4 linked regions of the Caenorhabditis elegans genome follow. The protein of the gene in region 4 purifies or fractionates together with the protein of the main gene of each other region. This does not show direct contact. Each region holds a gene or a part of one and is shown on either strand. Other genes may lie near its edges.

Region 1 (7,742 bases), on a different chromosome or scaffold from region 4:
AATTTGTGAATTCCGTATCAGTTCTGTGAAATCCTCATACCCATATTGTCCTTTTGTTGGCAATGCATGCATCGGTGGAAATGTATTGTACTTTTCTAGAAACTTTTTGGCATCAGCACAATCCGGTTGTGCATTGAAGGGTAAATTTGAAGTTGGATCGGGATGTTGAAGGGCATGAAGTACGGGTGGAATGTAGTAAGGAATAGCAGGAATCTGGACAGGACGAGCAAAAGCGAAACGAATTGGCTCATTCCGAACGATGATTACACGAACTTCAGCCATAAATCTATCCACATCGGCACGAGACATAAATGCTACAAACGCGCAAATATGCGGCCGTCTTCGCTCTTCTTCGCTTCTCGGATACAAAATTTTCAGTGCGGCTAACGGTCCGAACGAACCAAATGTAAATAATAGATCGTCTTCCGTTACTGAATGTGGAATATTAGAGACATATACATTTGTAGTATACGGGTCATCGTCAAACTCCGACGTTCCCTGGAATCCTCTTTCAACTGTTGGAGCCAATCTCTCTACTACAGCTTGATCCATTCCAACTTTTTCCAGATGATGTCGTAAATCTTTCCGTTTTTCTCGATCTTCTTGAACTCTGAAATTTTACGGATATAATTCTTTCGAAATTCTTTTTTAGCAATATACCTCTGCAATTCCATTTTAAACATTTCCATTTGACTGATCTTTGGCTTATCTTGTTTCGCTTTCGAGCTGCCAGGCTTCGGGGGTCTTTGAAACGGCCTCGTAGTTGGCACGACAACTTTCGGCACTTCTGTCATTTTTTTGCTTCGTGCTACGTCTTCCAGCATCCTTCGAGCCTGAATATAGTGTTTCTTATTTCACTAAAAACATCCGTTAAGAAACGAACACATCTCTACCAATTTAAACAATGTGAAGAACTAAGCGCATGAAATTTATTAATTTTACCTTCGCGGCTGCTAATTTTTTCGCTTCATCAAAATCTTTGGATCCAACGTTCGAAGTTTTAGACGGAATGTTCATTGAAAACTTTGGTGCATAGATTCCACCGTCGCCAGCAGCTGAAAATTCAGTTTATATAGTTTTCAAATGGATTTTCTTACAAATCTTATTTCCCTCGACAACATTTCCTCTCAGAAAAGTTTTAGGCTGAGAAGAAACAGACGAAGATTGTCCAAAGTCTGCTTGGAACTCCAACAAAGCATCGTTCAACTTCGCCTCCTCATCGTCAGATGTCTAAACTTTTAAATCGGTATTATTAAAGCTTGTGACACTTAGAAGTTGACAAGGAAACTTACTTTCTTTCTCTTTTTGGACCATTCCATACTCATATTGCGGGGAAATTTCCCGGGAAATAATTTAAAATGTTAGATTTTTCCCAGTAAATGGACCAGGCACTGACAATGCGTCAGCAATTATGATGAAACGCGCCAGCAACCACTTTGGCGTGTTTTCGGATCTCGGCGCGACTTTTAAGTAAGGAAACATTTTATTTTTGAAAAAAGAAAGAACAAAATAATAACGTAATTAATTTCAATTCATGAGTTACACGCAATTTCATATTATTATTAACATTTAACGTTCAAATCATATAATTCATAAATAAAATAACAAACCATTTTTAAATAATTTGCATATAAGAATTATGAGTCTATCTCCTCCGCCGTTATTCAATCTCGATCAAGTTTGTTATCTGTAATGTTTCTGCCTTTATAAATAATTTTAAGGGATCTTGGAGTCCTATTGCTATAAACATGATTTGCCTAGAAGCTTTACAAACTTGGTACCAATCGGTTTATCTTGGATCTGCTTATTTCTGTAAGAAAATAAAAAGTGGAAAAATATAACAACTAAAATTGCAGATATGAAGACAGAGTCGTTCGTGTATCTGTCACTTGTTTACATTCAATTTTCGTTATTTTTTCTAACAAGCATTTTGATAGTTATATATTTTATATCATACAATGGAGTCCAACGTCTCAATGTTATTACGATTACCACAAATGTAACGTTTCTTTTGACTCCTGTTTTCAATTAAGATTTTCAGTTTATAAAAATGGTGGTGGATGTGTCCTGTTTCGGAACAATTTATTTTGTTGGCAGCTCGAAAATATTGCCTATTGTGGATTTGGCGTATTTCAATTGTGTTATCCAACCGTGTCGGTTTCTTATATTCATCGTATACTGCCATCACGGAGCTAGATGTGACGCATATCACAGATTTCTGGTTGAATATGAGGAGTTCGAATTAGAAAAATGAGGAAATCGAAAAACGATAAAGTAATCACATTACTCATTACATTTAGAACTAATTATCCTTTAATAAATTTTCATCGACGCTGGTATATTCTTTTTAATATTTAATTCATTATTATTCTCAAGAAATTTCGCATCAAATCTTCGTAAAGTTTTTCATTGAAATCTAATTTTGAATTACCGCCATTTTGTTTCGCGCGTTGGCTGAGTATTCAACTTTTGTGTGTTGAATGTACGCAGCGAAATGCCTCTCACTCGTCGCTCGCAGCAGCTTGGCCTACTCGTCCCGTCGCTCTCACAGTTTTTCTCTCCACACTCTCGTTTCTTCGCACATTTCCTTCATTTTGGCCGTTGTTCTCCACGTGTTTCTGTGTTTCTTCTCTAGATTTCTAAGAGTTTTAGGCGACGATGGCAGCTCCAATCTGTTATCGACACTTTCTTGATAGATTCAGTCGTTTTCCGAAGATTTTTATCAGTTTCGTAGCTCAGAAACCTGTTTTAAAAAACGATAACAAAAAGTGTTCTTTCAAACTTTCGAATGTAAAATATAAACTTTTTCGCGTTTATTGTTTGGAGAGTCGCTTAAAAACTGGAAGGTATCAATAAAAAATTGTCGTGATTCTCTGACCTTTTGAAATTGTTTCTTGTCAATTGCCACGTCGTCAAACATCGGCTACCCTGTTGGCTAGATACTCCAGCAACCCAAAGAGTGTCTGTGCGTCTCTATGCGCCGCCGACCACTCGCTTGCTTTTTCTAACCGTCATTGATCGTGTGTATACGAGCGCGAGACAGACACCGGTTGTCTCGCATAAATATTATCTCAGTGTTATTTAGCGTTCCTCCTAATTGTTCTGAAAATGCTTGAATGATTTTTCCATGACTAACAAAATTGTAGTAAACTCGATAGGTATCATTTTTTCGCATTAAAAACTTATCTTCCTTCATTAACAACTTCTCAACTTACACCATTAACAACTTCTCAACTTTAATCTCGATTTTACAGATCTCATCAGGAAATCAAACCTACTACGACATCGGAAAATGAGTGGAGCGGAGCAACAACAGATCGTTCCTGCCAACAATGGCGACGAAAACTGGAAGGCTGGTCTCAATCTTCCAGCAAAAGACAGAAGATTCAAAACTGCTGTGAGTTTGCAAAGCCTATATGACTTTGTGACCATTTCATTTTTCAGGATGTCACTGATACGAAGGGAGTCGAGTTTGAGGATTTCTGCCTTGGACGCGATCTTCTCATGGGGATTTTTGAGAAAGGATGGGAAAAACCGAGTCCTATTCAAGAAGCATCCATCGGAGTCGCTCTCACTGGTCAAGATATTCTCGCAAGAGCTAAGAACGGAACAGGAAAAACCGGAGCTTATTGTATCCCTGTTATCGAGAAGATCCAGCCAGCCCTCAAAGCTATTCAAGCCATGGTCATTGTCCCAACTCGTGAATTGGCTCTCCAAACTTCACAGATCTGCGTGGAGCTCTCCAAACACATTCAGCTCAAAGTTATGGTCACTACCGGAGGAACTGATCTCCGTGATGATATCATGCGTCTAAACGGAACGGTTCACTTGGTCATCGCCACCCCAGGAAGAATTCTCGATCTTATGGAGAAAGGAGTCGCCAAAATGGAACATTGTAAAACACTTGTTCTTGACGAGGCTGACAAACTTCTTAGTCAAGACTTCCAGGTAAAAAAATTAACATTTGAATAAGATAACAATTCTCGTTTACAGGGAATTCTCGACCGCCTCATCAACTTCCTCCCAAAGGAGCGTCAAGTTATGCTTTATTCTGCCACTTTCCCTAACACCGTCACTTCGTTCATGCAGAAGCACATGCACAAGCCGTATGAGATCAACCTCATGGAGGAGCTTACTCTTCTTGGTGTCACCCAATACTATGCCTTTGTTCAAGAGAAGCAAAAGGTCCACTGTTTGAATACGTTGTTCCGAAAACTTCAAATCAACCAGTCGATCATCTTCTGTAACTCTACTCAACGTGTTGAGCTTCTCGCTAAGAAAATCACGGAAATCGGTTACTCGTGCTACTACATTCATTCCAAGATGGCTCAGAATCACAGAAACCGTGTCTTCCATGACTTCCGTCAAGGAAACTGCAGAAACTTGGTTTGCTCCGATCTTCTCACCCGTGGTAAGTTTGACTAAATAATTTGCGCGATGAGGATTGATAACACATACACACACTCTGAAGTTATGTGAAGAGATAATTGAAGAACGGATATCTGAGCGCCATTTTTCTTATTTTAAAGTGTAGTTCATGCATAATTGTAATTTTTCAGGTATCGATATCCAGGCTGTCAATGTTGTCATCAACTTTGACTTCCCAAGAAACGCCGAGACTTACCTTCACAGAATCGGTCGCTCTGGACGTTTCGGTCACCTCGGAGTTGCAATCAACCTTATCACCTACGAAGACCGTCACACCCTTCGCCGTATCGAGCAGGAGCTTCGTACTCGCATTGAGCCCATCCCGAAAACGGTTGACCCGAAGCTGTATGTCGCTGACCAGCAGCTCGTCGATGCCGCCGATGAGACCACTGCTTAAACACTAGTTCTCATATCCCCAAACCTCCAAAACACACTGGTCGCCTACGTTTTTTTTTTCCATTCTAGTGATCTCGTCCAGATTGTGTATGTTCTCTATTTTCCTTTAAATGCACAGTTTGTGCTAAATTTAATATTGTTCAAGCATAAGCATCTTTCCTTCCTGTTTTCTCAAATCCCCGCACATTATTTGTATCCCATCCACCTTCCCGGACCCCATCAACCCGTTCCACTTATATGCGGTGTAAAATTCTAATTTTTCTTTTTCATTAGTTTCCCCATACCCTCCAACTTGCAGTCATGGACTGTAACTCATTCAAGTCGTTGTGTTTTACATAGTCATTTAAGTTGGTCTTTATGCTCCCAAAGTAAATTGTTTCGACATTAATGTGTCGTTGCAAAATATATTTGGGAGTGTAAGGACATTGTTCATACACATCGGGTTCTTTTTGACGTGTATCATACTGGGTAGCCGGCTCTGTAGTTATTCTGTTGAGCCGCACCACATTGATCAATCTTGTAATTTCCTATCTCATTTCCCACAATTCTCCCTTCATGCCCCATACCAATGCATCCAAAATTTAAAACCACCATCCTTGCGGTTTTCCCTTGCCCATCTGTAGGGTTTTATTCCGCTCTTGTGCTCATTCCAGTTCAACTTGTCCATCTCCTAATCTGATAGATATTTATTGCAACTATTATCATGTCAAATGGCTCAAAGACTATAATGTCTTGGAAGGCTTCCGGCTGGCCATGTGTCTCGCTTACAGCTCTTCCCCCATCCCCATTCCAAAACCATTTGTTCTCTCCCGCCTCCTCCCTCTTGTTTATTGTATAATTTGTAGAAGTTGACACCAAAAATTTGCACAATTTTTCGATTCACAAAGGATGTGCAAGCTTCCTTCTGGATGATTGCCATCTTTAACAATAAAAGACCGAATCGAAACATCGTCTTCTGTTATTTCTTTTCAGAGTTTCATATGAAGAGGAAAGTAGTGAAAGCCTTGAGAAAAACCGAAAACCCACAAGAGATACATTAAAGCACATTAGCGCATTTCCCGAGTGAAAGACCATGTGAAATGAAAGTAACAAAATGCGACGATTTACTTTCGTTTCTCGTATTCCCTGGCAACAGCAGCGGAAGGCGTTGAATGTGTTGACAGTCAGCCAGCGGCAATGGTTGAGGTCGGTATTCAATTTACTGTTTCTCTCTTGGATGTGTCATCCGGAGAGGTGATTGCCCATCCGTATCGGCACCAGTAATGCGCGCCGCGCACAGTAATATTAGTTGATATTGCGGTGACGGGAGAGGTCGGAACGTCTACATTAATCTATTAGTGTGTATTCGGATTCCGACCGCAATGACTTTGAAAATTCTTTTTAGTTTCATTTTCTCATATGCTTTTCTATATGTATATCCTCGCCTTTTGTAATATTATGCAAATGTTAACAATCCGTATCCGTCGATGACAGGCGGCTCGAACCGGTCTGAATTGGATTGGAATTCTTTGCGCGATATCCGCAGAGAGACAAGTGATGGCATCGAAACTATTTTTTTCTCTGATTTTTATACGGTTTAGGCATCTTTTTTTTTAATTTTAATCAAATAACAAAAGTTTATAAAAATATAACTTTTTTGACCAACTCCATCGATAAATCACGAGGTTAGTCTCGTATTACTCACATTTACTGCATTGTACAAAATGACCATTTTCAGAAAATTTTCCAGACGAACGCGCCCGATTAATAAATTGAAATAGTCTTTCATTTTTCGTTGATGATGTTATAATGGAAAATAATGCGAAGTACAACAAAGTTTTATTGCCCAGACGCGAAATGTTGCGAGTTTTACGTAAACGGGTGTGCGCCTTGAAAGATTACTGTACTTTCAAACTTGTGGTGATGCGGAGTTTTCATCGATTTTTCATAGTTTCACGATTTGTTGAAATTTAAATGTCTTAATTGTTTCGTATTAGTATTTTAGTAAATAAATATTTTTAATCGAAAAACTATGGTAAATATGAAAAATCGATGAAAATTCCGGAATTAATTCCGCAGCAACGAAATTTAAAAATTACAGTATTCTTCAAAGGTTTTTATATTTTATATAGAAGGATTTGTTAACTTTATTATTTAAAAAATTGTTTTCATTTTCCCTCATTATTTTTTGTTGACCATTTATATCGCAAAAAAGTGTATTGATATTCTAAACAGCGTTGATGACCACTTAAGTGTCAAAAAAAGAATGAAAAACGGTTTTGAATTGAAATGAAGGAGAAGTGGACGGTGTGATACATTTCTAAATAAATTCTTTTCAAATTTCAAATTCACTTTTTTACACTAAACAATTTTTGATCGGATTTTTGAGTTACAAAGAGCTTTAACGTGGAGCTATACCTATTTTGTAAAACTTTTCGTCAAAGTTCTGAAGGTACAGTAAAGTGGAGTTTTTTCTTGAAATAAACTTAAAGTTGATCAAAAAGGCTACAAATTAAAATAAAATACTTTAAAATGTTCAAGATTTTTCAGAAATTTAATTTTCACTCTTGGCAAAATGTCAAAACCTATGTAGTTTTGAAACATAAATTTTTTTTTGAATAATTGCAACATTATTTGTGAATTCATGCAAAATGCAAAATGGGCGTAAAAAGTGAAAAAGTTGGACAAAGAAGAGGTTGAAATGCCATTAGGTCCATTGGGTCAACCTTTCGAATAATGAAAAACTGGATTTTTTTCTCATTTTCTCAATGTCTACTCATTTTTCGATGTTCCATTTACCATTAGTAACCGCAAGGAAAAAAAACAAACTATAGACTACTTAAAAACTATTACTATTAGAAGTGATATTATACATTTTGAAATAGTTTATGCTTTTAATTGATCTTTGGAAATAATAATAAAAGTTTATCATTTTTCCA
Region 2 (6,302 bases), 2.1 Mb from region 4:
TCGTGGAAACGCGGCAGATAACATTTTTTACTGATGTATCTGTTACTCGTATCTGGAAAATAAAGTATTTAGAAATGAATTATTTGGACAATATACCTGTAGTAGCCAATCGATGCCATCAGATTGTAACTCGTGTATTTGACTGCAGATACTTGGCTGAAATGTGAGAAAATGTTAGAATTTTTGTTACTTCGTACAGAATATCAGCTATTACCATAATGACTACAATTTTTGACATCATCCAGAATTTTCGATTAAATAGTGCATCGCCGAATGGTACGATTTGCAGATCAGCCATTCGTTGGAATAATTGGGGCGACAATTTTGAAGATGAATCGCCACTGTTCAACTAGAATAAACCTCTTTTTTTGAAAATAATTTTGATTTTTCTGAAAAAAAAAACAAACCCTTTCAGCAAAAGGTGTCCTATAAACTTGAACATTCGCCGATTGTTTGTTTTTCATATTATCATTTTCTTGTCTTACATTTGGTCTCTTCTTTCCCTGAGCTCCAACCATTTTCTGGTCCTCCGGTACAACAGAATCCACCGTCTCGCTTTTTATTACATTCCTAAGTGGCGGAGCTTGGTAGTATCCTGTATAATTCCAATTCTGTGAAGGAGGAATGACTGGTGGAGGAGGAAGAATTGACAGAGGATGCTGGAGATTTGGCTGGGGCATTCCATTCATTGAAGAATCTGAAATTTTTCCAAAATGTCAGATGATTGATTAAGACAGTTATAGCTTACCGTATTTATTGTCACGTTCTATATTATTATTCATATTATATCCATTGTAAACATTCCGTTTATCATCCTCAATAATATTCGATTCCCTTCCACGCAATCCCCATCGTTCGCATTCCAAACGTCCCTCATGATCCATTGTACATTCAACTGAATATAAATATTTTTTTGAATATCACGAGATTATCAGTTAAATTTTCCGATAAATTAAAAAACAACTCACTTATAGATTCATCGTGATCTACATGATCCATTTCTTCTTCTAAGACTACATCTTCTCCATGATTATCTAGACTTTTTCTTTGTTTTAATTGATCTCGGAACGAAGATGTTGGCAGAACTTCATCTTCATAATCTTCATCATAATCTTCAAAATTCCCAAAATCGACTACTTTCGGCATTTGAGGTGGTGTATGACGCGTAGAAGATGTGAATGAATTAGGATTACTTTTCACAGTTATAAAGTGATCTGTAATTTGTTTGAAAACGGGAACATTGTTCGATTTGACTCGAAAATCGTCAATCTTGCTACGAGGACCATGAATTGTTTGCGCAAATGTATTTAATTTATGACGACTCTCTTCATTACTTCGATTCGCTTGGCGAGTTGTTTCCTTCACAAAACATAATGGAATCTCCATAACTGAATCTATCTTTTTGATCCTTTTCGCCGCAATGTCTTCCTCTTCTGATCCTTTCCGATCTTCCCAAACCCATACGGAAACATCTTTGCCTGGAAAACTTTTACTGAAACTTTTGTGGTATAGTTGTTGTTAAGAGGATCATATTATAGCTGAAAGGTTTTTATATTTTATTCTGTTTTAACTTACGTTTCTCACTGTTCATTCTAGGATCACCGATTATAGGTTTTTCGATTGGAGTCGGTCGTATTAGTTGTCCAGGAAGTTCCTTGATTTTCATTTTTTGATCTTTAGAGTTATCAATAGACATAACTTTTTTAGATTTGTCAAAGGAATTTGTCGAATTGAAAGTCCAATCTTCGATCGTCTTGTTTTGCAGTAGACCTTTCTCGACCTGATTTGAAATGTTTTGGGACACTTTTGAAATCGAATTTTTATCAATTATTAATGAAGATAAACGCTTCGTTGGAGGTGGTGGGAGCGGATCTTGTGGTTTTGAACGCAATGGATAATGTTCAACAAGGCCCCGTACATGATGACTTGGTGGTTCTGGAGTTGGTTCTTGCGGAACTTCTTCGATTGAAAAATCCCAATTTTCAATAGGATCTGTTGGTTTCTCTATTTGAATGCTGGGAATAACTGCTACGGAAGATGGTAGAATACGTGACGCAGTAGGCACCAAAGACTGTTTCACCGGAACCTGTAATTTTCAGAACTGTTTTTAAGCCATTGAAAGAAGTGTAGTGGAACTAGATTAAATACTTACAGTGACCTCTCCCGTTATTCGACTTGTTTTGACTAAAAATGGAGAAAGCGATGATTGATTAAGGGAAAGATTTTTCTTGTCTATTTGTTTCTTGTTATTTCGTGATACAGAAGCAGCAGCGTTTTCCAGAGATGCTCTGAAAATTGAATTTACTAGAAGAATTAAATCAAGCTAAGATGATGTCTGATTTCTAATGTATCTAAGTGATAACTTACTTTCTTCGTTTCTTCTCCGCGTCTAAGTCAACCTTCAATGCATTTGATAATTGTGCCACTTTATCAAAACTTAGTGATTCCACTCGGCCGCCCAGAAAAGCACAATTAGATTTATCCAGTAGAAGATTTCCACGACGACATTTAACTTTTCCTGTGAGAATAATCTTTGCACCGGGTAGCATAATTTTTTCATCAAATACTTCGTCTAACTCGATTGCTTTCAAAGTATTCACACCATCGGTGAGCTCAATTTTCAGCATTCCTCGTTTCTTAATTGCATTTTTCGTCTGCGTATGATTCATGCGATCAGAGGCCACATCTTTTTCTTTGTCGCGATTTTCTTCTTCGTGATCAGCTTTGGATCCGCCATGAAACCAAGCCAAATCTTCGTTGTGTCGAGTACATTCTGACAATTGCTCGTACAAGGATGTTGATATATTCGTGGAGGAAATAACCTAAAAATATTCCTGTTGATTTTCGGCAGATCTTCAAACTAATAACCTGGAAAATCATTCTTTTAACAATGACAACTTTTACTGCGCTCGTTGGGATTTTCATGGTGGGATCCAAAGCTTCGGATATTTTTGAATTCAAAAACTGTTGTATGACAAGTTCACCAATCTGCTTCACATCAACAGTTTTAATTCTTTGTCCGAGTGATCCTTCGATATACTGGACGCATATTCTTAGCCATTCTCTCTTGAATGGGTAATGTTTCCTAGCAAGCCAAGAGAAAAGACGATCAAGTTCAGTTTCTTTCATATATTTTGTAGTTTTTATATGCGTTCGCTCTGCAAATACCAACAAAAAATAATGAAAATGTGTGTAACATTGAATAAGAAAACAAATTTGTTAACAAAAAAATGTAAGAAATGCGTTTAAAACCTTGAAGCGCCGCCAAATGTTTGATGTGCAGGTACGCTGGTTACGGTCGTACGGGACCACAGGCCCGCGAGCGTTTATCACTTAATCTGTCATTTTTCGACTTTTTTCTTTTCTTCTGCACGCCGTCGACCCTTGAAGCTTCAGTCACTCAATGTAGTCTTGTTTTTCAGTACCTCAAGTGCTAAGAGCAACTACGGCGAAAATGTCGGACACTGCGAATACTGCTGTCGAAGTAGATGAGCAAGTCATCGAAAAGAAACTCGACGATCTCTCCATCGGCAAGAAAAGATCGCCAAGCAAGGATGATACAAGCAAGCATGTAAGTTTTTTTAAAACTCACTTCTTTGGGAACTACCATTGACTGTTTTGAAGTAGTTCGTTTTCTTTATGATGCATGACGTGCTAATGTACAACATTTACAATTTTATGATTTTTAGCGTCTGCCAGCTGCCGAGCGCATACGCATTTGGGAGGAGGAGCAGAAGGCGAAGATTGTTCTTACCGCTGGACTTCAAGGAAAGGTGAAGTGGTACTCTGTACTTCGTCGCTATGGGTTCATTTCCCGTAGTGATGGAGAGAAGGATGTCTTCGTTCACCAAACAGCTATTTCCAAATCGGACACTGAGAAATTTTACCTTCGGACACTTGCCGATGAGGAGGAAGTGCTCTTCGATCTGGTCGATGGTAAGAATGGACCTGAGGCTGCAAATGTCACCGGACCAGCCGGGGTGAATGTTTCTGGATCGAAGTGAGTTATTGATTGACAAGTAAAGTTGGAAAACTAGTTACTTTAGATATCGCCATCAGCTTCTCTCTCGCTTCCGTAAGAATCGTAAACCGAAAATCGTTGTTGGAGAGGATTTTGATTCAAAGGAAACTGAAAAGCTTGTCGAGGCTCCGGCAGTAGCAATGGAGAAAAAGAAGCAAAGAAAGCAGCGTAAGAATAAAAACCGCAAACAGAAGGACCAGAAGGGAGCAGGTGATGCTGCCGACTCTTCTGCTACTACTGAATCTCTCGGGACCTCTTCCGAAACTGCTTCTCCGGACTCGAAATCCTGCACCAAGATCATCTCTGAGGAAGCTGGACTCTCCAAGATCGATCGTTGCGATTCTGCTCTCGACGATGCTGGCCTTGGTGCTCAGTTGATTGATGCTCAGATCTAAATTTCATTGCTTTGTGTTCCTGAATCTTTTGTACTTATTTATATAGCACAGAATTCTAGATCCCCGTTTCCTGCATGTTTTTATGTCCCCAAATCTGTTATTTTGTGTCAGCCTGTAAAGAGAAGTGTTCTTATAATAAACCGAAAGTCGGCAAAGTAAATAATTCTCTTCATCACCCGCATTACGATCTAATTTGTTTGGTATCGATTCTTACTTCTAAACGGTTCTCGAGCTTCATCTAGTTAGGTTTTTGAAAACGGAAATTTCAGAATTAGCTTTGGAAAAACTAGCGTAGGTATTTCCATTCGATGTTTGCTAAAGGTATAAATTTGCCGCGATAAGCAATAAAATAATTTGAGTTTTCTCCAACCATCTGATAGTGTGAAATTTGTCGTTGCGATAACTTTCAAAAACAGAAATAAAATCAATTATCAGTAGTCTTCAGCGTCGGTTTCTTATTATACCCGTTGAGTTTTGATCGATAGTAATAATTTTGGTCAGAAAATTATTGCAGTTTTTGATGTATACAATATTTTTTACGGTGTCCAAACACTTACGCCGCTCTGTAATACTAACGGAATACGAATTCTTTAGGTTAAGGGCAACTAGAAAAGAAGTCATATAATAGTTTCAAAACAGCAAAGTACATTTTTATTGAAACGCGGAACTTACACGCATAATAATCCTCTGAATGCCGTCTCAGATGTCTTTTTATTGAAGAATTATACTTCGATGTAATTTTCAACATATGCCTTATCAGAACGTTTCGATTCCTTTCTATTTTCCCTCAATTTTTAGATGTTGAAATTTTATTTCACTTCACTCAATTTCAAAATTTGAAGCTTGACATTTCTCCATTATTCTGAATGCTTTTCTAGCTTAAACTTTACCTTTCAAATTCTTGACATTTTTTGATGTCATATACGACATGTCATGACTAAAATTGATAGAATTCATCTTTCATGAGTCACTGATAAATGGAACTTATTAATTAAATCAAATAATACCATTCCATACGATCACACCAACGAAATTTAGACCTAATTTATGTTTATAGTTTTTCTGACACTCAAGATTTAAAAATCCTTTCCGCCTACGGCAAGTGTAGAAAATACATTTTTTCTGCTATAGTCATCATTTTGAAATGTTAGTCATTTTTCAAGTTTCAGCTTTTCGATAATTTTCAGCGTCATTCCAAAAATGCCATTTTCATTTTTCCGCAGCGCAACCCCCCTAATCAATTCTTTTTCTGTTACGACGACGCCTTTCATAATTTTTCAGAGATAAGAAACAAAATCAGTCGTCAAATTTTCTCGCTGAAAAATGTTTGTGTGTATGTGCTCATTCTTTTTTTGTGCTCTTGCTCCCACCAAACCGACTACACTTATGATACAAAATTTGTATAGATTCTTCGGGGAATACATGACCCCTGAGACGAAGAGCGGGAGACGAGTCTGAGAAAGTGTAAAAAGTGCCGATTGAAGCTAATTTATGAGTTGAGCTCACTCTTAGCTCTCAGTTGTGTTCGGGTGTGCAGTTTCTCAGATGCTCATGATCAGCATGCGTTTAGTTTATAAAATAAAAACTCCGTTTAGTCGGCAAAATTCTAGGCAATCAGGTGGTAGTCACTTCCCCCACAGCCCGCAATTTGATCGGTTCTAATTTCATAACACATAAAAGAGAGCCGAAATTGCTCCATTTTCTTCAGACTCACTTCTAGCTTCATTTTTTAGTTTTGTTTTCTAAATTCCTCACTTGAAGAACCTAAATTGCTTTGACTTCAATAAATGCAAGCTATTTCCTTCCTTTCGGATAATATTTAAACATTAACTTATCGATAACCTTTTTTGCAATTAATGATTTTACATCTTTTCAGATATGAGCGG
Region 3 (10,698 bases), on a different chromosome or scaffold from region 4:
ATGAATATAAAGCTATGTTGTAACAAGAAAATTTCTGTAAAGAGCAGAATTTTGACTTTTGAGGGTGTGTGTGTGTGTGTGAAAGTCCGTTTGTGGGGGGGACTCATCCCTTGTGCTCCGCTGCTCAGTTGCACCGCCGCACACACAAAACTTCTTTTCATTTGCGTCTTTTGCACCGCCGACTCTCTAGAGGCTCACGCCACTGCTTTATCTCTCTTCTTGCCCCAGTGAGTGTGCGTGTGTCATCACAGCGTGGTACGTTTGCGGGCGCGGCTGCGTCGCGGCCAGCTTCTCACTTCTTCGCATGCTATGTGTGTGTGTGTGTTTTTTCGTCTATTCTCCAACCGTGGAATATGTAGAGGGCGCTCTTCTTGCAACTCGCAGACGTTCAGAGACAACACAACCGTTTTCCCTTTTTGCTTTTGTGTGTGAGTGTGCATGATTACTCTACTCTATGATTAACTCGTCAAGGGATTTGATATATCACTACTCTTCATCTACTAATTAGAAAAGCTTTCGTTTATATAATTGGACATTTCACAAGATGATTTAATGAACTGACTTAATGTTTTTTTTAAAGAAATAATTCATTAACAAAAATGTACACACAAAAATATTCTGGAAACTCTCAATCTGGAAAAATTGAACAAAACGATATAAATTTTCGGAAAATGTCAAAGTCTATTTATCATAACTGCTTGATAACAACAAAATGACAGTATTCTTCTGACTAACATATTCCAAAACAGAACATGTTTCATTTTTTTACTTGCTAACAATCTGATAGTCCGAAAAAAACTTTTCTTTCTAAAAATAACCTATCATGTGGAGTATGTAATGTGACCGTGTAGTGCAACAAGTCACAAAAATTTATTTTTCCTTACTGTTTTTTTCTAAAACATGCTGAAAACGTGTCCTTGTTTTTTTTGCAGAGAAAAATTCGACTTACACCACTTGAGACGGGCCTAAGAAGTCTGTTTTTTCGAGTGTCCACTGCATGTAGGGTTGGTTAATTATCGGTGTGATAATTGATGCTTTGAATTGATATGGGCATTTTCGATTCTTTCAATCGATAGTGTTTTTTATTTCTCGAACAGCATTAGTTGACAATGTTTTAGCTTACACTGAACTTTTTAATGGTGTGATGTTTCCCTATTTTCTTTCCCTATATTTAATATTTTAATACACCTGTTATTATCAAAATATTAAAAAAAAACTGTCACCTCAAATTTGAATCCTGCCAAGCCCGCGAAAAATTCCCTCTCGATTTCGGATACAGAAAATTTGCTCGAATCGAGAGATGAGAAATTTGGGAGATGCTGGAATCAAATAAGACTCCGCCTACTTCCTTTTAGTTTTCCGCCGGACACTTCAAAAATGAAAAGAGTGGGTAATACCTGGCGGCCGACAACCCACGGGTTCCGTGCCTCGCTATAAATTAAGTAAATTAAGCCACACCCATTCAGTTGGTGTGTTTTTGAAGGGCGTGGCTTAATTTACTTAATTTATAGCGATGCGCGGAACCCGTGGGTTGTCGGCCGCCAGGTATTACCCACCCTTTTCAATTTTGCGGTGACCGGCGGAAATCTGAAAGAAAGTAGGCGGAGACCTTTTTGATTCCAGCATCTCCCGAATTTTTCATCTCTCGATTCGAGCCAATTTTCGGCATCCGAAATCGAGAGGGAATTTTTCGCGGGTTTGGCTGGATTCAAATTTGAGGTGACAGTTTTAATATTTTGATAATACGTTATAACTTAGATTTCAATTTCAAAAAATAACAAGACAGTTACATTTTTGTTTCCATAAACTTTTTTATAAGCTTTTTTATTTCTTGACACTTCATTTTGTATACTTTTGTGTAACATGTCAAACTTAAGAGCACTATCATATTACACCTATCACTCGTTAATTTTATATTTTTCTTATCGTAGTTAACATGCATTCCGTCACCGCTTGTCACCGCGTAGTCTTTGCATTTTGTGCTGTCCGGCGTCGCTCACTAGACGTGCTAATTATTTCTAGGTACTATATATTTGTCTAAATTGTTATTTTTACTTAGCCGGTCGACAAATGCTCAACAGAACCGTCACACCACTTTTTATTTTAGTTTCTCTGTGTTTCCTGAGGGTCACTTTGTTACAGTTAGCTTTGCAACCAGTTATATTGTCTGATAATCGAACGTTTATCAAGGAAAGGTCAGGCGATTTTTATATAAAACACAAAAATAATAGAAAAAAAGAAATATGCCGATGGCATTGAGTGGGTGTGTACGGAACAAATATGGGTAGCGATCAATGGCTGACCTATATTTAGTGTTACGAATCAGCAATCTATGATCACTGCTAATTGGAAAATTACAGTTTTTCACTGAAAAAATTCAAAACGATAAATGAGAATGCTCATAATTTCAACCATGTGTTTTTTTAAATAAAAGTTTAAAGAAAAATAAAAGTGTCATACTGTACATAATATGCACTTTTATAACTGTTTCCTCATCAAAAAATATTACCCAAATTTCATAAAACTTTCATTCATGCTTAAAATTTTTTGATTAGTGCAAATATACTTTCCACTTTTGTAAAAATTATCAAATTATTTACGGAAGAAAAACCACCCCCTTGGGTATCTTTTAACGAAACTTGGTTTTTAAATTGTTGGGTCTGTTAAACTTTTTAATTTTCATTGTCATCGTTTCTAAGTCCATTCCAAAACTGTTCATGTTCGGTGTCAGGCACGGCACTACCCATAAACATGAACCTTAACCCTTGACGGGACAGACGGGAGGCCGCTCATAAAATGCACTATACTGCTCAAAGCATCTCTCTCCCCCCGCTTCTCTGTGTCTCTTGGACCATTACACATTTTCGCTGGTCTAATGCCAGGGCAGCCTCGTCCAGTTCCAATAGGTCCTTCTGCCACTCTTCCTCTTTCTTTCCCTTTTACTAACCACCATCTGCCGTGGTTTTCGTTGGCTTTCAATGGCGTGTGCGGCCTAGAACCGTCTTGTACTTTTCAGTATTCATAGATTAGCTGATGGAAAGAGATTATCCCGACCATTATCGTTTCTCATTTTCAGTTTTAGTGCTTGAGAGGATTTAGTGTTTCGTCTAGATCAGGAAGTTCACAGATGCACTTTATTCTTTATTGAAAGATCTTTCGAATTTGCGGAAGTCGTTATTTTGAATTAATCTTGAAAATGCTATTTTTCAAACAGAAATGTATTAGCTTCCTTAAACTATTCATACAAGTTGAAAAATTTTTCAAATACATAGCTGATAGTTTGATTTGTTATTAAATATGCTTCGAAGATTTTAAAAATGACCATTTTTAAACAGTTTGTAGTTATTCAAAACATTGGGCTCACATACCATACAAAGTTTTCAATATTCTAAAGTTTTTATTTTAATTTTGAGTAAGACACCAATTTTTTCTGATGTGTTTTCACAAATTGGTGATAAATTTGAAAATTACGGCTAACTTCCCAGCAACACTTCCTTCGCATTGAATTCATTTTTTGATCGTGTTCATTCCGAATTTTGTTTTTCAGTTTCTGTTCTATTTTGCTTTTTCCTTTTTCCTTCTCCATTCCCTCGTTCACCTTCCCCCTCTTTCTTCCCGAAACATCAATAATTTTCAGAGAAACCTCAAGAAAGTCTCTCAACTCCACTCGTGGCATATGCACTTCAGACGGTGTAGCTGACGACGAGTTTAACATCATTCAGGAATCTAACCAATAGCAATCACTGAGAAAATCATCATCAGCAATCGGGCCAAAATCAACTTTCTCCTCTTCTACTACTATTTGTTCAACTCTTTCTTCTCCACTACCCCTGCCAACTCGAAGAGACGAATCTGTAACCGACTGACAACACCGACGTCCTTCTACCTCCTTCTACCTCTTCCTTACCCTTATTATTGCTTTAAAAGGATACAATAACTAAAGGAACCAGAAGCTTCTACCGCTACTCTTCCCATCTCACTGACCCAACCCAGCGCTTTCAATCCCTCTCATGGCTGCCGAACTGAACAACACCAACACAAATGGTAAGCTTATTTTATTATTACTTATTCTTAACATAAACATCTGTACTAAAGAAGTTATCATAAGATTTATTTCTAACAATTTTTCCTCTTCCATTTTTCCACCAAATCTAATTGCACTTTCCGGGAGATTAATATTCAATCTGAAAAGGTGTCCGGCAACATAATTCCCTGACTTTAACATCAAACATTTCATGAGACTTTGCCATTAGAAAATATTTGTATTCACACATGTGTATAATTTAAAATATTCATTTGTTCACTTTTGGGACAATCCTGTATGTGTTCTTCAATAATGGAAATAATGTTAATTTGCATTAAAAATTGAGAAAGAAATGCCAAGTGTAATTTTTGATATTGAGAAAAATATGTATATTTCTTCAAGATTTTCGACACCACAGAGACTTGATAAAGGTCTTGAAAATAATTATGAGTGTTTTTGAAATGCGAAAAACTGTCTGTGAGAACGTTGATAAATATACTGAAAATAGTGTTTAAAATCAAGTTTAAAATTTTAAAAATTGAGATTGAAAATCGAAAAATATCCAAGTTTCAACATTTCTGAGATAATAAATAAAACTTTTTTGTCAAAGTTCTGATTAGTCTGTAGAAATTTCACTTGGCATAGAACTTGTATGAAATAATTTTCAATAGACTTTCAAATTATGAGAAGTGAAAACTTTCTGTTGACCCTCCTGGCAACAAATAAGCAACTTTTTGGAAATTGTTTTCTATAATATTTAGTGATTAAATAAGTGATTTTGAACAACCTTATGGTGCTTCTCCAATTTTACTATAATTGTTATATTTTTCTAATATTTATGTAGGAATCCTTTCAGAATGAATGGATGAATTAACTACTACTACCAATTTTGCGCATTTAGTTTTTTTTGCAATTCTCAAAATTGTGCCAAAAACAATTCTAAAAATTCTAAAAATCCACATTCACATTCACGACAGTATGCAACCAGATGTGGTGATTTTTACAACCAACACCTTCTCTTTTTGCCTCTCAAATTTCACTTTTGTTTGGAAGCCCTTCTGTTTAGAGTTTATGTCACTTTTCAACTCATACTATTTCCATACGAAAAGTCCGTTGTCTATCTCTCTGCGTTTCCTTCTAATCGCAAATCTATTCCACCCGATCGGACAACTGACCCACATCGATATGTTTAATCGCATCGGCTCTCAGCACTCCGCGCGTTTCTCTCCCTTTCTCTCCACAGACCATCTTTTTCTTTGTTTTGTGAGTCGATCCAACCCGCTCCCGGCAGCCTGCTTCCCCCTGTATTTGGTAGTTTCCAACTCTCTCTCATTTTGCTTGTTCCACTCGCCTCTCTCGCGACACACTATCTCTGCCGTCTCCTGATTTCGCATAGTCTCTTGTTAGTGTACAATAGCGTATAGTACTGGCCACCGAATGTCTGCGTCTCTTGATCTTTCGGAATGCATTCTGTCAGCGCCCGCTTGCGCAGCAGTCCGATTTCCGATTCGTCGTGTCCTCGTCGTCCAGTCGCCGTTGCGTCCTCCTTTGACGTCGCTGCCCGACACTGTTTTACTTTTCTCTTTCTCTTTTCCTCCACCCCGTACCTCACACGAACAACCTGTCGGTTTCCAATCTATATATCGATTTTCTCTTTTTTAAGTTTTGGGTTTGTCTGCATTTGTAGAATTTTTTTCCAAAAATGCATGACGATCTATAAAAAAACCTGAACAATCATTTCACAATACATTCATTTCAGAGTCGTCTAACGTCGCCTCAAACGACCCAATGTCCGGCGGGCCGCAATATTTGCCAGGAGTCATGAATTCTACCATTCAACAGCAACCACAGAGCGCAACATCGTCGTTTCTGCCAAGTGGACCGATTAGTTCGACGTCCACCTCCTCGCAAGTTGTTCCAACATCTGGAGCCACCCAGCAGCCGCCTTTCCCGTCGGCACAAGCGGCTGCGTCAACAGCGCTCCAAAATGATCTAGAAGTAAGTTTTCATCGTTTAAAAACGCAGTGTACACATCTGATATTATCTTGTTATTAGTTTGTAATAATTTTTAAATCTTTGAACTTACACATTGTATTTCAGGAAATATTTAATTCTCCGCCTACTCAGCCACAAACATTTAGCGATGTTCCTCAAAGACAAGCCGGAAGCCTGGCTCCAGGAGTTCCCATTGGTAATACAAGTGTCTCAATTGGAGAACCAGCAAATACACTTGGAGGCGGTTTACCAGGCGGAGCACCGGGACAATTACCTGGGTAAGAAATTTGAAATGTTATGAACTAATACGGTATAATCAAAAAAAAAACCCCCGTGAGAAGCAATAACTGGCAATCATTAATTTTTGATTTCAAAAAAGGGATTTTCGAAAAAATGTGGAATTTTTAAATGTAAATGTTTTCAGCGGCAACCAGAGTGGTATTCAATTCCAATGTCCTCGACGCCCAAACCACGGAGTTGAGGGTCGCTCAATTCTTCTTCGCGCCAACCACTTTGCAGTGAGAATTCCTGGAGGAACTATTCAACACTACCAGGTCGATGTTACTCCAGACAAGTGCCCAAGAAGAGTTAATCGGTAATCATTATTATTCCAAAATGAACTAACTTATTAATTGTATCAATTTTCAGCGAGATTATCAGCTGCTTGATAAGCGCATTCTCCAAGTACTTCACTAATATTCGCCCTGTTTACGATGGAAAGCGCAATATGTACACCCGCGAGCCCCTTCCAATTGGAAGAGAACGTATGGATTTCGATGTCACACTTCCTGGAGACTCCGCCGTTGAGCGTCAATTTTCGGTTTCTTTGAAATGGGTCGGACAAGTTTCTCTCTCCACTCTGGAGGATGCCATGGAAGGAAGAGTTCGCCAGGTTCCATTCGAAGCCGTTCAAGCTATGGATGTCATTCTTCGTCATCTTCCAAGCTTGAAATACACTCCTGTCGGACGTTCATTCTTCTCGCCACCAGTTCCTAATGCTTCTGGAGTCATGGCAGGATCATGCCCTCCCCAGGCTTCTGGAGCTGTCGCAGGAGGTGCCCACTCCGCTGGACAATATCACGCCGAGAGCAAACTCGGGGGTGGCCGTGAAGTCTGGTTTGGATTCCATCAGTCGGTTCGCCCATCTCAGTGGAAAATGATGCTTAACATTGATGTCTCTGCGACTGCTTTCTATCGTTCCATGCCAGTCATTGAGTTCATCGCCGAAGTTTTGGAGCTTCCAGTTCAAGCTCTTGCTGAGCGTCGTGCTCTATCTGATGCTCAACGTGTCAAGTTCACCAAGGAAATTCGTGGTCTCAAAATTGAAATCACCCACTGTGGACAAATGCGCAGAAAGTATCGTGTCTGCAACGTCACTCGTCGTCCAGCTCAAACTCAAACTTTCCCACTTCAATTGGAGACTGGTCAAACTATTGAGTGCACTGTCGCCAAGTATTTCTATGACAAGTACAGAATTCAACTCAAATACCCACACTTGCCATGCCTCCAAGTTGGACAGGAACAAAAGCACACCTACCTGCCACCAGAGGTGTGCAACATTGTTCCAGGACAACGTTGCATCAAGAAGCTTACGGATGTGCAGACATCGACAATGATTAAGGCTACAGCTCGTTCTGCTCCAGAACGTGAGCGTGAGATTTCCAACTTGGTCCGCAAGGCCGAGTTCTCAGCTGATCCATTTGCTCACGAATTCGGAATCACCATCAACCCAGCAATGACTGAAGTCAAGGGACGCGTTCTTTCTGCTCCAAAACTTCTCTACGGTGGACGCACTCGAGCCACCGCTCTCCCGAATCAAGGAGTTTGGGATATGCGTGGAAAACAGTTCCACACTGGAATCGATGTTCGTGTCTGGGCGATCGCTTGTTTTGCTCAACAACAGCATGTCAAGGAGAACGATCTCCGCATGTTCACCAACCAGCTTCAGCGGATTTCCAACGACGCTGGTATGCCAATCGTCGGAAATCCATGCTTCTGCAAGTACGCTGTTGGAGTCGAGCAGGTTGAGCCAATGTTCAAGTACTTGAAACAAAACTACTCTGGAATTCAACTTGTAGTGGTTGTTCTCCCTGGAAAAACTCCAGTTTATGGTATGTAATTTGTTTTTTTTGTTTATTTCTGATTATTTATTTTCTAATTTTTCAGCTGAAGTTAAACGTGTTGGAGACACAGTTTTGGGTATCGCCACCCAGTGCGTGCAAGCCAAGAACGCAATCCGAACAACTCCACAAACTCTTTCTAATTTATGCTTGAAGATGAACGTAAAGCTTGGAGGAGTCAACAGTATTCTGCTTCCAAACGTACGCCCAAGAATCTTCAACGAACCAGTCATTTTCTTTGGATGTGACATCACTCATCCACCAGCAGGAGACTCTCGCAAACCATCCATCGCAGCAGTTGTCGGCTCAATGGATGCTCATCCTAGCAGATATGCTGCAACCGTCCGTGTCCAACAACATCGTCAAGAGATCATCTCAGATTTAACCTACATGGTCCGCGAGCTTCTTGTTCAATTCTACCGCAACACTCGCTTCAAGCCAGCCAGAATCGTTGTCTACCGTGATGGAGTTTCTGAGGGGCAATTCTTCAACGTTCTTCAATATGAGCTTCGCGCGATTCGCGAGGCTTGCATGATGCTTGAAAGAGGATATCAACCAGGAATCACTTTCATCGCCGTCCAAAAGAGACATCACACTCGTCTCTTTGCTGTTGATAAGAAGGATCAAGTCGGAAAAGCATACAATATTCCGCCAGGAACTACTGTCGATGTAGGAATTACCCACCCAACCGAGTTTGACTTCTACTTGTGCTCTCATGCTGGTATTCAAGGAACATCTCGTCCATCCCATTACCATGTTCTTTGGGATGACAACAATCTGACAGCCGACGAACTTCAACAGCTCACATATCAAATGTGCCATACCTACGTCAGATGCACACGATCCGTTTCAATTCCAGCGCCAGCATATTATGCTCATTTGGTAGCGTTCCGCGCTCGTTATCATCTTGTCGATCGCGAGCATGACTCTGGAGAAGGTTCTCAGCCATCTGGAACTTCCGAGGATACCACCTTGTCGAACATGGCTAGAGCTGTGCAGGTAATATTGGCATTTAATTTAGTTTCTATTTGAAAAAAATTAAACACTTTAGGTTCATCCGGATGCCAACAACGTCATGTACTTTGCTTAAACTAGGAATCTGCCTAGGAATCGACTTCATAGATAGCTATTACTCACCAACTTGCTCTAACAGAAGACGAGTATTGAATATTGTCATGTCTACCTAATATCTATCTTGATAATTCTGTGTCTTTATCTGTATCTGTATCTCCATTCAAATTGATTTCAATATGCTACAATGTTATAATGTTTTTCTATAATCGGACTCTTATGTTTTCAAATTCCATATTTAATTTGTAATTCTAATTGCCGCTACCTCTCGTGTAACTGTTTTCTTTCTTCCATCCATTTTTCACTTCCCACAACCAAAATGCCTTTACTTAGTGACTTTTCCTCTCATCCTGGTAGCCTACAAAGCTTCAAAACCCATTTAATATCCTTAATATTTTTCCTCGCAGTTGATTACATTGTCCAAATGCACTGCTGTCGTCTTTCCACCTTGTAACCTCCGAGAGCACCGAGCACTACGACTCCTCTCTTCACACTCACATCTTCTCGCTGAGCAATCATCTTGAAATGCTTCTTTCTTCAACTTACGGGCTTGATCTGTCAAATTCCTTCCAATTTCTCATCGCCTACAGTAGTCCTAGTTGCGTTTGATGTTGACCTATTCGACTTCCTTCCCCAAACAACCATTAAAAACATTACGAGAATGCTGATGTTTTCTCCGCAAAATAGCCGAAATTTGGGCTAGATTTTACTCTGCGCTCCTGGTGAGTCTTGTATGTTCTTGCACTTCAAATCCACACGTATGTGGCAGTTTATGGCTTTCAATGCTGAAACACATATACTGATGGACGCCTGGAACACTTGACCACCCATCAAGACGTGATCGGTAAAATTTACTCTGGGTGTCTTCTATTTTCGTGCAGAGTTCTGCATTTGTTATGGCATTAACTTCGTGATTGTTCACTTCACTCACATATTTGAAAATTCTGACGCAATATTTATCACCTTCAGTTGAATATTTTTGCATTGTGCTACAATCTTTCATTTTTTCTTGAACTCTCAATACCCTGTCATCAAAAAAATCACCAATATATCTTGTCAAGTGCATCTTTCCAATTGATTCTTTCTTCATTCACTCTCTCACTTTCTTTCTTGCAAATACTAATTTTTAGGGTTTTTATTATTTACAAAATTATTGTAACATTTAATTACTCTAACTTTAGGATTTAATCTTCAGTAAATTAACTTACAATTTTCCAACCCAAAAAATAATATTAAAAAACTCCCCTCTTCACTTCATTTCCACAATTTGTCATACTTTCAACATCTCTACCTGACGTCCCCTAAGCTCTTATATTTTTGATCCAGCTGCCTAACTAAAAAAAACTCGCTCTCAACCTCAACTTTTGTGTCTTACTGTATTTCCAAACAAACCCTTTTCTCTTTCAAAACCCTTTCCCACTTCCCCCTGATCCTGATGTCTGAAAGTCTTCCCCCCACCCCACCCACAGAAAACCTTTTTCCGCATTT
Region 4 (7,836 bases):
CAAATAAAATTAATAAAAACAAAATGTAAACTTAAAATTTGTTGAAGGACATTCTTTTAATCGATTCACAAAATTATGACATCTGAATAACCTTTGGACTGTGAAATTTTAAAAAAATCAAATTTTTCAAATTGGAACTTATTCAATTATTATTGTTGGATTATTAGATTATTTATAGACCTAGGTACGGTTTCCAAAAAAGGCTTACAATACTGTAAATATATAACTTCACAATCACATTAACTAAAATGAACAGTATGCATTCATATACTAAAATACAAATAAACAAAACGATTCGAAAACCCTAAACAATACCTTTAAATAAAGAAACAAAAGACACAATAAGTGTTTAATTTGTGAATTCGTGTGAATCACATACCGAATGTGATATGTTTGTGTCCTACCTAAAATTCGGGAATTCCTGTAATTGATAAGGGGGATACATAGTGATACTGCGATGATCGGTACTCAAATGTCTCCGTTTGTTCCATCTCTTCTGATCTTCCCCTTCACTCACCATACCTGCTTTCCCGTTTCAATTCGCATTGAACCGTAATTAGGTGGTAGTGTTATGCAAGGTAAAACTGACCACAGCATCCGAAGCAGCATGTATCGGCAGGAGGATACGTATTTCGATTCGCTTTGATTCATTTTCTTATTTAGGAGAACTCGAAGGTCGAATATAGGCACTTATCGGCCATTTTCATCTATGCCATCCTTTTCTGGCGCGGTGCCAAATTATAGAAAACTTGGGAACCAGAAACTAAGAGGCCGGATAAAATAATTTTTAACATAAATATTTTACTAGGTACGATTGGAAATTCAAAATATTGATGTCTCTGAAATTATTTTGGAAATATAAAAAATATTGAATACTGTGTGTTCTCATCTAGAGCAGTGATGTGCAGAAAAACAAGATTATTTCTGAATAATAATTCATATTTTTGAATCAGAACATTAAAATAGAATTCTAGGAAATTATTAAAAGTTGGATTATCTTACCGAAAAGAACATCTTTGTAGATTTTCCGCACGTCTCTAATCTACAGTAAGACCTTCTAGCTGATAAAAATTTCATCCTACCGTATCTCTACAGTAATCCATTGTATTCAAGAAGCAAAAAAAAAGTATTGTTTGAATGTTTTTGGTACGAAAAACCAAAGAAAAAAAGAGAATGCAAAATGAAGAATTTTTTGTACTTAGTAGGTTATAGTTTAAATTTCAGATAAGTGCACGACATGAACGAGGCCGAACGACAGCAGAATTGGACGAACATGCGTGGCAGGTTCAGAATAATATAACTGCAATAAAAAGGCGTTTAAAGGTGAGTTAATCGAATAGTGTATAACATGATAATGTACTTAAATATTTTCAGCAACTAGTAGATGCAGCTCCACAAGTAGTTTCACTAGATACAACTGCAGATAGTAGATGCATTGAAATGTACGAAGAAAAACAGCTGATGGCAACACAAGGAATGCTTCGAGAGGATGTTTCTGCAGAACGTCAACGAGTTGCTGAATTGTGTTGGAGATTGCATAATTGTAAGCAGTTGGTTAATGAGAATGAAGAAGAAAATACAAACAAGAAGATTGATTTTGAAGAAGAACAAGAATGGACGGAGCGGTTAGCGAGTTCCTTATAAGATTTACATATAAAAATTAGTTTCAGGTGCAAATTGGAAGAAGCTGCACGAAGTGCCCTGTTAGAAGAGATTACACGTCTTCGATCTACTTGTGCTGATCTTCGAGCTCGTCTGGAAATGGAGTCACTGAGCAAAGAAGTTATGAAATATGATTCACTCTAGATCGAATGTACTTTTGTAGAATTGTTCTGTTTTGATACTTTATCAATATCACAGCATTCGGTAACGGGGAATTCGAATGTGCTTCTTTTTTATAATATATTTTCACAAAGTACTGTATTTCTTTCAAAATTATTTTTGCATATCAATAGGGCACATTTGCAGAATTAAGTGGAATCAATCAATAATTCTTAGTCTTTTCCTTCCTCAAGTCAATAAATGTGCATATTTTCCATATTCCATATCTACCCCTAACTCACACTCCCCTTCTTTTTGACATTTATATTAGCTTTATCATTCGTTTTTGTTAACTTTAATCACAAAAAATCCGGGCATAATTTCTCTTTACCATCTTCACTTTTCATGTCATTTGTTTTCACTTTTTTTGATAATTTTTTATCATTTGGGTCTTGTTTTTCACAAAATCAAAACTTTTTCACAACTTCTTTTTCAGTAATCCCAGTTTTTCTGTACCGATGTGACCAGATATGTATAAATTTTATTGCATCCAACAATCTCACACAGTTTGATTATTTGAAAAACTGTTCTGATTCAGAAAAATGTTACATTTACACTTTGAAAACTTTTTTCTAAAATTTGAATGCTATTTAATTTTTAAACTTTAAGCATCAACGAACACAATGGCCGATATCTTCAGAAAACCAAAATCAAAAATTCAAAAAAGGAAAATTTTAGAAGACGACGACGTTGCTGCTGATGGTATTTAATTTTTAATCTGATAAAATAATTGTTTTTAAAGCAAATGATAACTTAAGAGCATAACATGCATTAAAATTTTTAATGTTCTAAATTTTTTTTTCCAGAAGAGTCGTCAAGAGTTTCCGATATTCGAGATCTTCAACGATCACGAGAAAGGAAAAATGGTCTCACAGAATTAGAATGCGCAGTTGGAATTTCAAAAGCTGCAGCTCTCGAGGATGGAATTCAAATGGCTGGTGGCGGAATGGTGATGACAAGTAAAAAGAAGGCAGCAATGGAAGCTGCAAGCATTGAACAAGGACTCCGAGAACAATTCGAGAAGGAAACAATGCTGAGAGATGAACATGAAGAATTAAGGAAATATATTGATGACGGACTTCAAGAATATACAGCTGATACTTCTAAAATTGAAAAACAGAAACAACCTTCTTCATCAGCTGCAGCTAAATTTTCATCGCTGAATGCAGAAGATCGTGATGTAGAGCTTTTGAAACAAGCTGCTGGAAAAGTGAAGGGAAATCAAAGCAAAAAGGAGACAGAATTGCTTTCAGAGCATATGCTCGCAGGAATCCCAGAAGTGGACCTGGGAATTAGCACTCGTATCACCAATATCTTGGAGACTGAAAAGAAAAAACGATTCCTTCTTCAAATATCTGCTGCTGAAGCTGCAGGTCTTCCACCACCAATTGAAGAATGTGAAGAATCAAAACCAAAATATCGAAGACGTTTCAACAACCAGCGTCGATAAATTGAGATACACAAGTGTTTTTTATTTATTTTCCTGTTTAAATAAATTCGATTCATTTTATAAAACTCTGAATTGAAAGTATTCAATTAAATTCTGAAAAGCCTCATGCAAATCAGCGCACGGCTTAATAGGCGTGGCCAATTCCTGCCGTTTCGCCACCCGTGCGCGCATTTCTGGAACTTAAAGGAACATGTTGCACCGCGACGTATGGGTCTCGCAGCGATCGCAAACAGGTATACGGTAAAAGTTTCGAAATTTAGGACTTCACCTCAAAACTTTTTAGAGTTTTATTTTTTCGATGCTTTTTGGTTGTTTTATATTTCGTTTCATCTAAAAATTTTAGAAATAATTATTTCTATTTGAATATGACCACTTTCACATTTTCCTCGAATGTTTCATTCCGAAATTCTAGTGAATATTCGTTAGATAAGCTAGATGAGCGAATCGCCGCAGAGTTTAAGCTTATGTCGTTACGTTATTGAAAAATATATTATTACTAAGTTTTCTTACAGGTTAACCATCGAAGAATGCCGTCGTGCACCACTCCAACTTACGGTGTTTCGACCCAACTAGAAAGCCAAAGCTCTGAATCGCCATCTCGTTCGTCCGTTATGACGCCAACGTCTCTGGATGGAGACAATAGTCCACGGAAGAGATTCCCCATCATCGACAATGTTCCAGCGGATCGTTGGCCGTCAACTCGGCGAGACGGATGGGTACGCGAATTTTCATTTTGTTCATCAATTACAGTAATAAAAAATTTTCAGAGCTCTGTTAGAGCGCCACCACCAGCTCGTCTGACGCTATCGACGAACAACAGACACATCATGTCCCCGATTTCGAGCGCTTACAGTCAAACACCTAATTCGCTTTTGTCGCCAGCCATGTTCAATCCAAAGAGCAGAAGTATCTTTTCCCCGACTCTTCCTGCAACTCCAATGAGTTATGGAAAATCATCGATGGACAAGAGTATGAAACAATCTCATGTCTACTTATTTTTCTGTAATTTCTTCAGGCCTGTTCTCTCCAACAGCTACAGAACCAATCGAGGTTGAGGCAACTGTCGAGTACTTGGCTGATCTGGTTAAAGAGAAGAAACATCTTACGCTCTTTCCTCATATGTTCAGCAATGTTGAACGTTTGTTGGATGATGGTACATAACCGCTCTGTGTTCCTACAAGTAATTATTTTATTTTAGAAATCGGTCGTGTCCGCGTGGCTTTGTTCCAAACTGAGTTTCCGAGAGTTGAGCTTCCTGAGCCTGCTGGAGACATGATTTCGATCACTGAGAAGATTTATGTTCCAAAGAACGAATACCCAGACGTAATTTAACGAATTTCAAGTTTTCGAACAACTAAAACATTTCAGTATAACTTCGTCGGTAGAATTCTCGGCCCACGTGGGATGACCGCCAAGCAGCTTGAGCAGGACACTGGATGCAAGATTATGGTCCGAGGAAAGGGATCAATGCGGGACAAGTCAAAGGTTTGATCTTGTTACAATTTTATCTAAAACAAAGTTTAGTTGTTGAAGGAAAGTGCTCACCGTGGAAAGGCCAATTGGGAGCATCTCGAAGACGATCTGCACGTTCTTGTGCAATGCGAAGACACTGAGAATCGTGTTCACATCAAATTGCAAGCAGCACTCGAACAGGTCAAGAAGTTGCTCATTCCGGCTGTGAGTTATATGCTTCGTAAAATCTCTACAATAACCTATTTTCAGCCCGAGGGAACTGACGAGCTGAAGAGAAAACAACTTATGGAACTTGCAATCATCAACGGTACGTATCGTCCAATGAAGTCGCCAAACCCAGCTCGTGTGATGACTGCAGTTCCTCTGCTCTCTCCAACTCCACTACGTAGTTCAGGTCCAGTTTTGATGTCGCCAACTCCTGGATCAGGACTCCCGTCAACGACATTTGGAGGATCGATCTTGGTAGAACAGTTCTTCAGTTTAAGTTTCATATTTTTAATTTCAGAGCCCCACTCTCACTGCATCCAACCTTCTCGGATCTAACGTCTTCGATTACTCGCTTCTGAGCCCGAGCATGTTTGATTCATTCAGCTCTCTTCAACTTGCAAGTGATTTGACGTTCCCGAAGTACCCAACAACCACTTCGTTTGTCAACTCATTCCCTGGTCTTTTCACTTCTGCATCTTCTTTTGCCAATCAAACAAACACCAATGTGTCCCCGAGTGGAGCAAGTCCCTCGGCTTCTTCAGTCAACAACACCTCTTTCTAAAAAGTTCACATTTATAACTCACACTCCCTTTGTTTTGTTCGTTCTCACCATTTTAGGTTACCATAGAATCATGTGCCATACATCATGTTGCCATTTTTTCCCCCTCTCATCTCCCCCATCTTTATCATGTCATCAATTGGTATCTACCATCTCACTCCTTTAGGAATAGCATACACATACAGTTAGTAATAATTATGTAATGAGATACCTAATACCATTAATTCCTTTCTGTAATTTAAACTCGCCCTGCTGCTTTCACCATATGCTCTTTGATTTTTAAGTATCTTTTCCCTTTCTTCGCAGATCTTGAAAAGATATTTTAACATCAGAGAAAAACGGCAGGTGCCCCGGTAATAACATCTTATCAGGATAACCATTTTGGAGAATACTCATTGATACTTTTATTGATGCAGCTATTCCCCTACCCATTCATACTACCTCGAATGCCAAAGCACCCCCTTTATTTTTCTGTGTTATCTTAACGCTAACCCCTGTAGAATCTTCCCGGTTTGATGTAGTCATCAAAAATTTTTCATCTTTTCTAAATTTTTAGTAACTTGAGATTTTAATTTTCTTTCCCGCTAGTTAGATATGTTCAAATCTCACATCCCCATCAAACCAGCCCCAAGTCCCCATTCTAAACCCCTACCCCTTCCCAATCTGTCCATTATAATTTTAAGCACAAGTCCAAGAGCTAATATTTTTAGCAGTCTTTCACATTGACCATTTTCTCGGTACCCTGTTTTTGAGACCAAAATTTTGAATTTTGAAATTGAAATACAGGGCGAGATAAAATAATAAAAAATAGTTTTTATTCAATTTTTCTTCCAGTTCATGTTTTAAAACGATTAAAAAGGAAACATTAGTTAGAAACATTTTCATTTCTTCAAATGTTTCACGTGAGCAGGGATTCAAACTGTTTCCAATCCGAAGAGGATTTTGATGATAATCCAAGAGTTGATGGAGTTATCGAATTACTCAGTATGTGATGTTCTGTAAAAAAAATCGCCAGTTAAAATTATCAGAACTTTTCGTATGGCCTGCAGCTGCAATTATGTTAATTTTCCTTTTACTCCTGGTGAACAATTCGGTTAACATTGAGAAACAAAAAAACGTCCGGAGGCGTCATTTAATGGTATTTGTTATCGGTTATTTTATCAGGATCGTCTAAATAATAATATTTCAGAGCACAGTTCAAAATTGGCATATGCACGATGATTTTATTGCAGGACTTAAAGGAATTAGAAAAGAGGAAGAATGTAAAAGAATGATGTTTTCTGAAAAGTGTGAATATAGTAAACCGGTGGTCAATGCGTTGAATGAATATAAAAAAGAGAGAATTGAAGAAGTAAAGAGAAAAACTTTCGAAAAATCTTCAAAGAAAAATGCAGAAATTGCTAAAGTGGAGGTTCGAATATTTTCACAACTAAAAATTATTTTCTAGGAACGATTTGGCCCGGTTAAAACATTGAAAATGGGTGGAGTATTTCCCAAAAATAAGGCGAATAGTGTATTCTGGAGTCCTGCAGATATTGTTGCATTCAATTTAATGTTTAGAAAAGCTCGAAAAACTCAAAAACTTGCAGATGGTGTGAAGATTGCTTCTATTGATGAAATTTACTCTTGAACTATTATTATCGAAAAAATACGATCGCACAAATTTCTCATAATTTATTTTTGATCTACCTGTTGAACTTGACTCCGCCCCCAATCTTGTTGCCGTTGTTATTTTGTTGTGGCTGTCTTGTCGAAGGAAGGGGAGGAGCCTATTCAACAAGGTAGATCAAAAATAAATTATGAGAAAATTGTGCGATCGTATTTTTTCAATAATATTTTTGGGTTACAATTTTTTAATCAATAAAAAAATGACGATTTTTGAAGCAACAATTTTTATTTCTTAAATAATTGTTTTCAGAAAGCGAAATTCCAGATCTAGACCGGAAATTTGGTAATTTATGACACCGGTCTCGACACGATCGAAAGTTGCATGCGCGCCTTTAATGTGTACTGTAGTTTCCGCGTTTCGATGTTTCACAATTTTCTTCGTTTGTTTCTTTATTCTAAATAATATTTTCGAGAAATATATTGAGTTTTCTTGTAACCATTTAAATAAATTATACTGTACCCATTCCAGACATGCATAATTGCAATTTCACATTTTTGATCTACACCGACTGCCAATCCGGTTTTGTTTTATTGAACTCTCACTAATTCGGCCGTCTTCGATGTTTGCAGAGCGCTCATTCACTTCTTATTATACTCACTTCAACTAACAATGTCATCGATTTCAATTTTCGATGAAATCCTTCTCCCAACAGATATT

What was found.
Region 1: the proteins of gld-1 (region 4) and cgh-1 purify together in Caenorhabditis elegans (affinity purification with mass spectrometry; 2 studies listed by BioGRID, with this or other methods). This does not show direct contact.
Region 2: the proteins of gld-1 (region 4) and cey-3 purify together in Caenorhabditis elegans (affinity purification with mass spectrometry, with the first as the bait; 2 studies listed by BioGRID). This does not show direct contact.
Region 3: the proteins of gld-1 (region 4) and alg-1 purify together in Caenorhabditis elegans (affinity purification with mass spectrometry; 2 studies listed by BioGRID). This does not show direct contact.

Annotation. Positions count from the first base shown.
Region 1 is NC_003281.10:7,493,345-7,501,086, reverse strand, and holds cgh-1 (ATP-dependent RNA helicase cgh-1), read left to right. Parts: upstream 1-3,254; 5' UTR 3,255-3,292; coding exon 3,293-3,397; intron 3,398-3,444; coding exon 3,445-3,948; intron 3,949-3,993; coding exon 3,994-4,411; intron 4,412-4,432; exon of another isoform or gene 4,433-4,510; intron 4,511-4,559; coding exon 4,560-4,825; 3' UTR 4,826-5,767; downstream 5,768-7,742. Other genes in the region: sap-140 (U2 snRNP-associated SURP motif-containing protein), read right to left, coding at 1-610, 661-833, 943-1,055, 1,098-1,230, 1,293-1,325; C07H6.9 (Serpentine Receptor, class Z), read left to right, coding at 1,640-1,678, 1,722-1,812, 1,857-1,999, 2,042-2,254. UniProt on the Caenorhabditis elegans protein: Probable RNA helicase required for oocyte and sperm function. Also required to prevent the physiological germline apoptosis mechanism killing essentially all developing oocytes.
Region 2 is NC_003279.8:5,570,070-5,576,371, reverse strand, and holds cey-3 (CSD domain-containing protein), read left to right. Parts: upstream 1-3,422; 5' UTR 3,423-3,454; coding exon 3,455-3,571; intron 3,572-3,689; coding exon 3,690-4,000; intron 4,001-4,046; coding exon 4,047-4,416; 3' UTR 4,417-4,576; downstream 4,577-6,302. Other genes in the region: rmh-1 (RecQ-mediated genome instability protein 1 homolog), read right to left, coding at 1-52, 97-156, 215-349, 408-697, 749-895, 969-1,478, 1,576-2,086, 2,153-2,288 and 2 more; pqn-52 (DUF1080 domain-containing protein), read left to right, coding at 6,295-6,302.
Region 3 is NC_003284.9:13,945,479-13,956,176, forward strand, and holds alg-1 (Protein argonaute-1), read left to right. Parts: upstream 1-4,010; coding exon 4,011-4,044; intron 4,045-5,783; coding exon 5,784-6,022; intron 6,023-6,124; coding exon 6,125-6,297; intron 6,298-6,443; coding exon 6,444-6,614; intron 6,615-6,667; coding exon 6,668-8,130; intron 8,131-8,185; coding exon 8,186-9,138; intron 9,139-9,190; coding exon 9,191-9,229; downstream 9,230-10,698.
Region 4 is NC_003279.8:7,691,898-7,699,733, forward strand, and holds gld-1 (Female germline-specific tumor suppressor gld-1), read left to right. Parts: upstream 1-3,783; 5' UTR 3,784-3,798; coding exon 3,799-3,987; intron 3,988-4,038; coding exon 4,039-4,240; intron 4,241-4,286; coding exon 4,287-4,424; intron 4,425-4,469; coding exon 4,470-4,594; intron 4,595-4,639; coding exon 4,640-4,756; intron 4,757-4,804; coding exon 4,805-4,948; intron 4,949-4,993; coding exon 4,994-5,206; intron 5,207-5,249; coding exon 5,250-5,513; 3' UTR 5,514-6,325; downstream 6,326-7,836. Other genes in the region: rlbp-1 (Rho-GAP domain-containing protein), read left to right, coding at 1,225-1,323, 1,375-1,625, 1,671-1,806; T23G11.4 (Hepatocellular carcinoma-associated antigen 59), read left to right, coding at 2,445-2,523, 2,628-3,271; T23G11.10 (uncharacterized protein), read left to right, coding at 6,404-6,494, 6,539-6,648, 6,700-6,915, 6,958-7,140; gna-2 (glucosamine-phosphate N-acetyltransferase), read left to right, coding at 7,789-7,836. UniProt on the Caenorhabditis elegans protein: RNA-binding protein which recognizes the 5'-UACUCAU-3' RNA consensus sequence. Binds sequences in both the 5'coding and the 3'-UTR region of rme-2 mRNA. Binds sequences in the 3'-UTR region of cye-1 mRNA. Binds to cyb-2.1, cyb-2.2 and cyb-3 mRNA.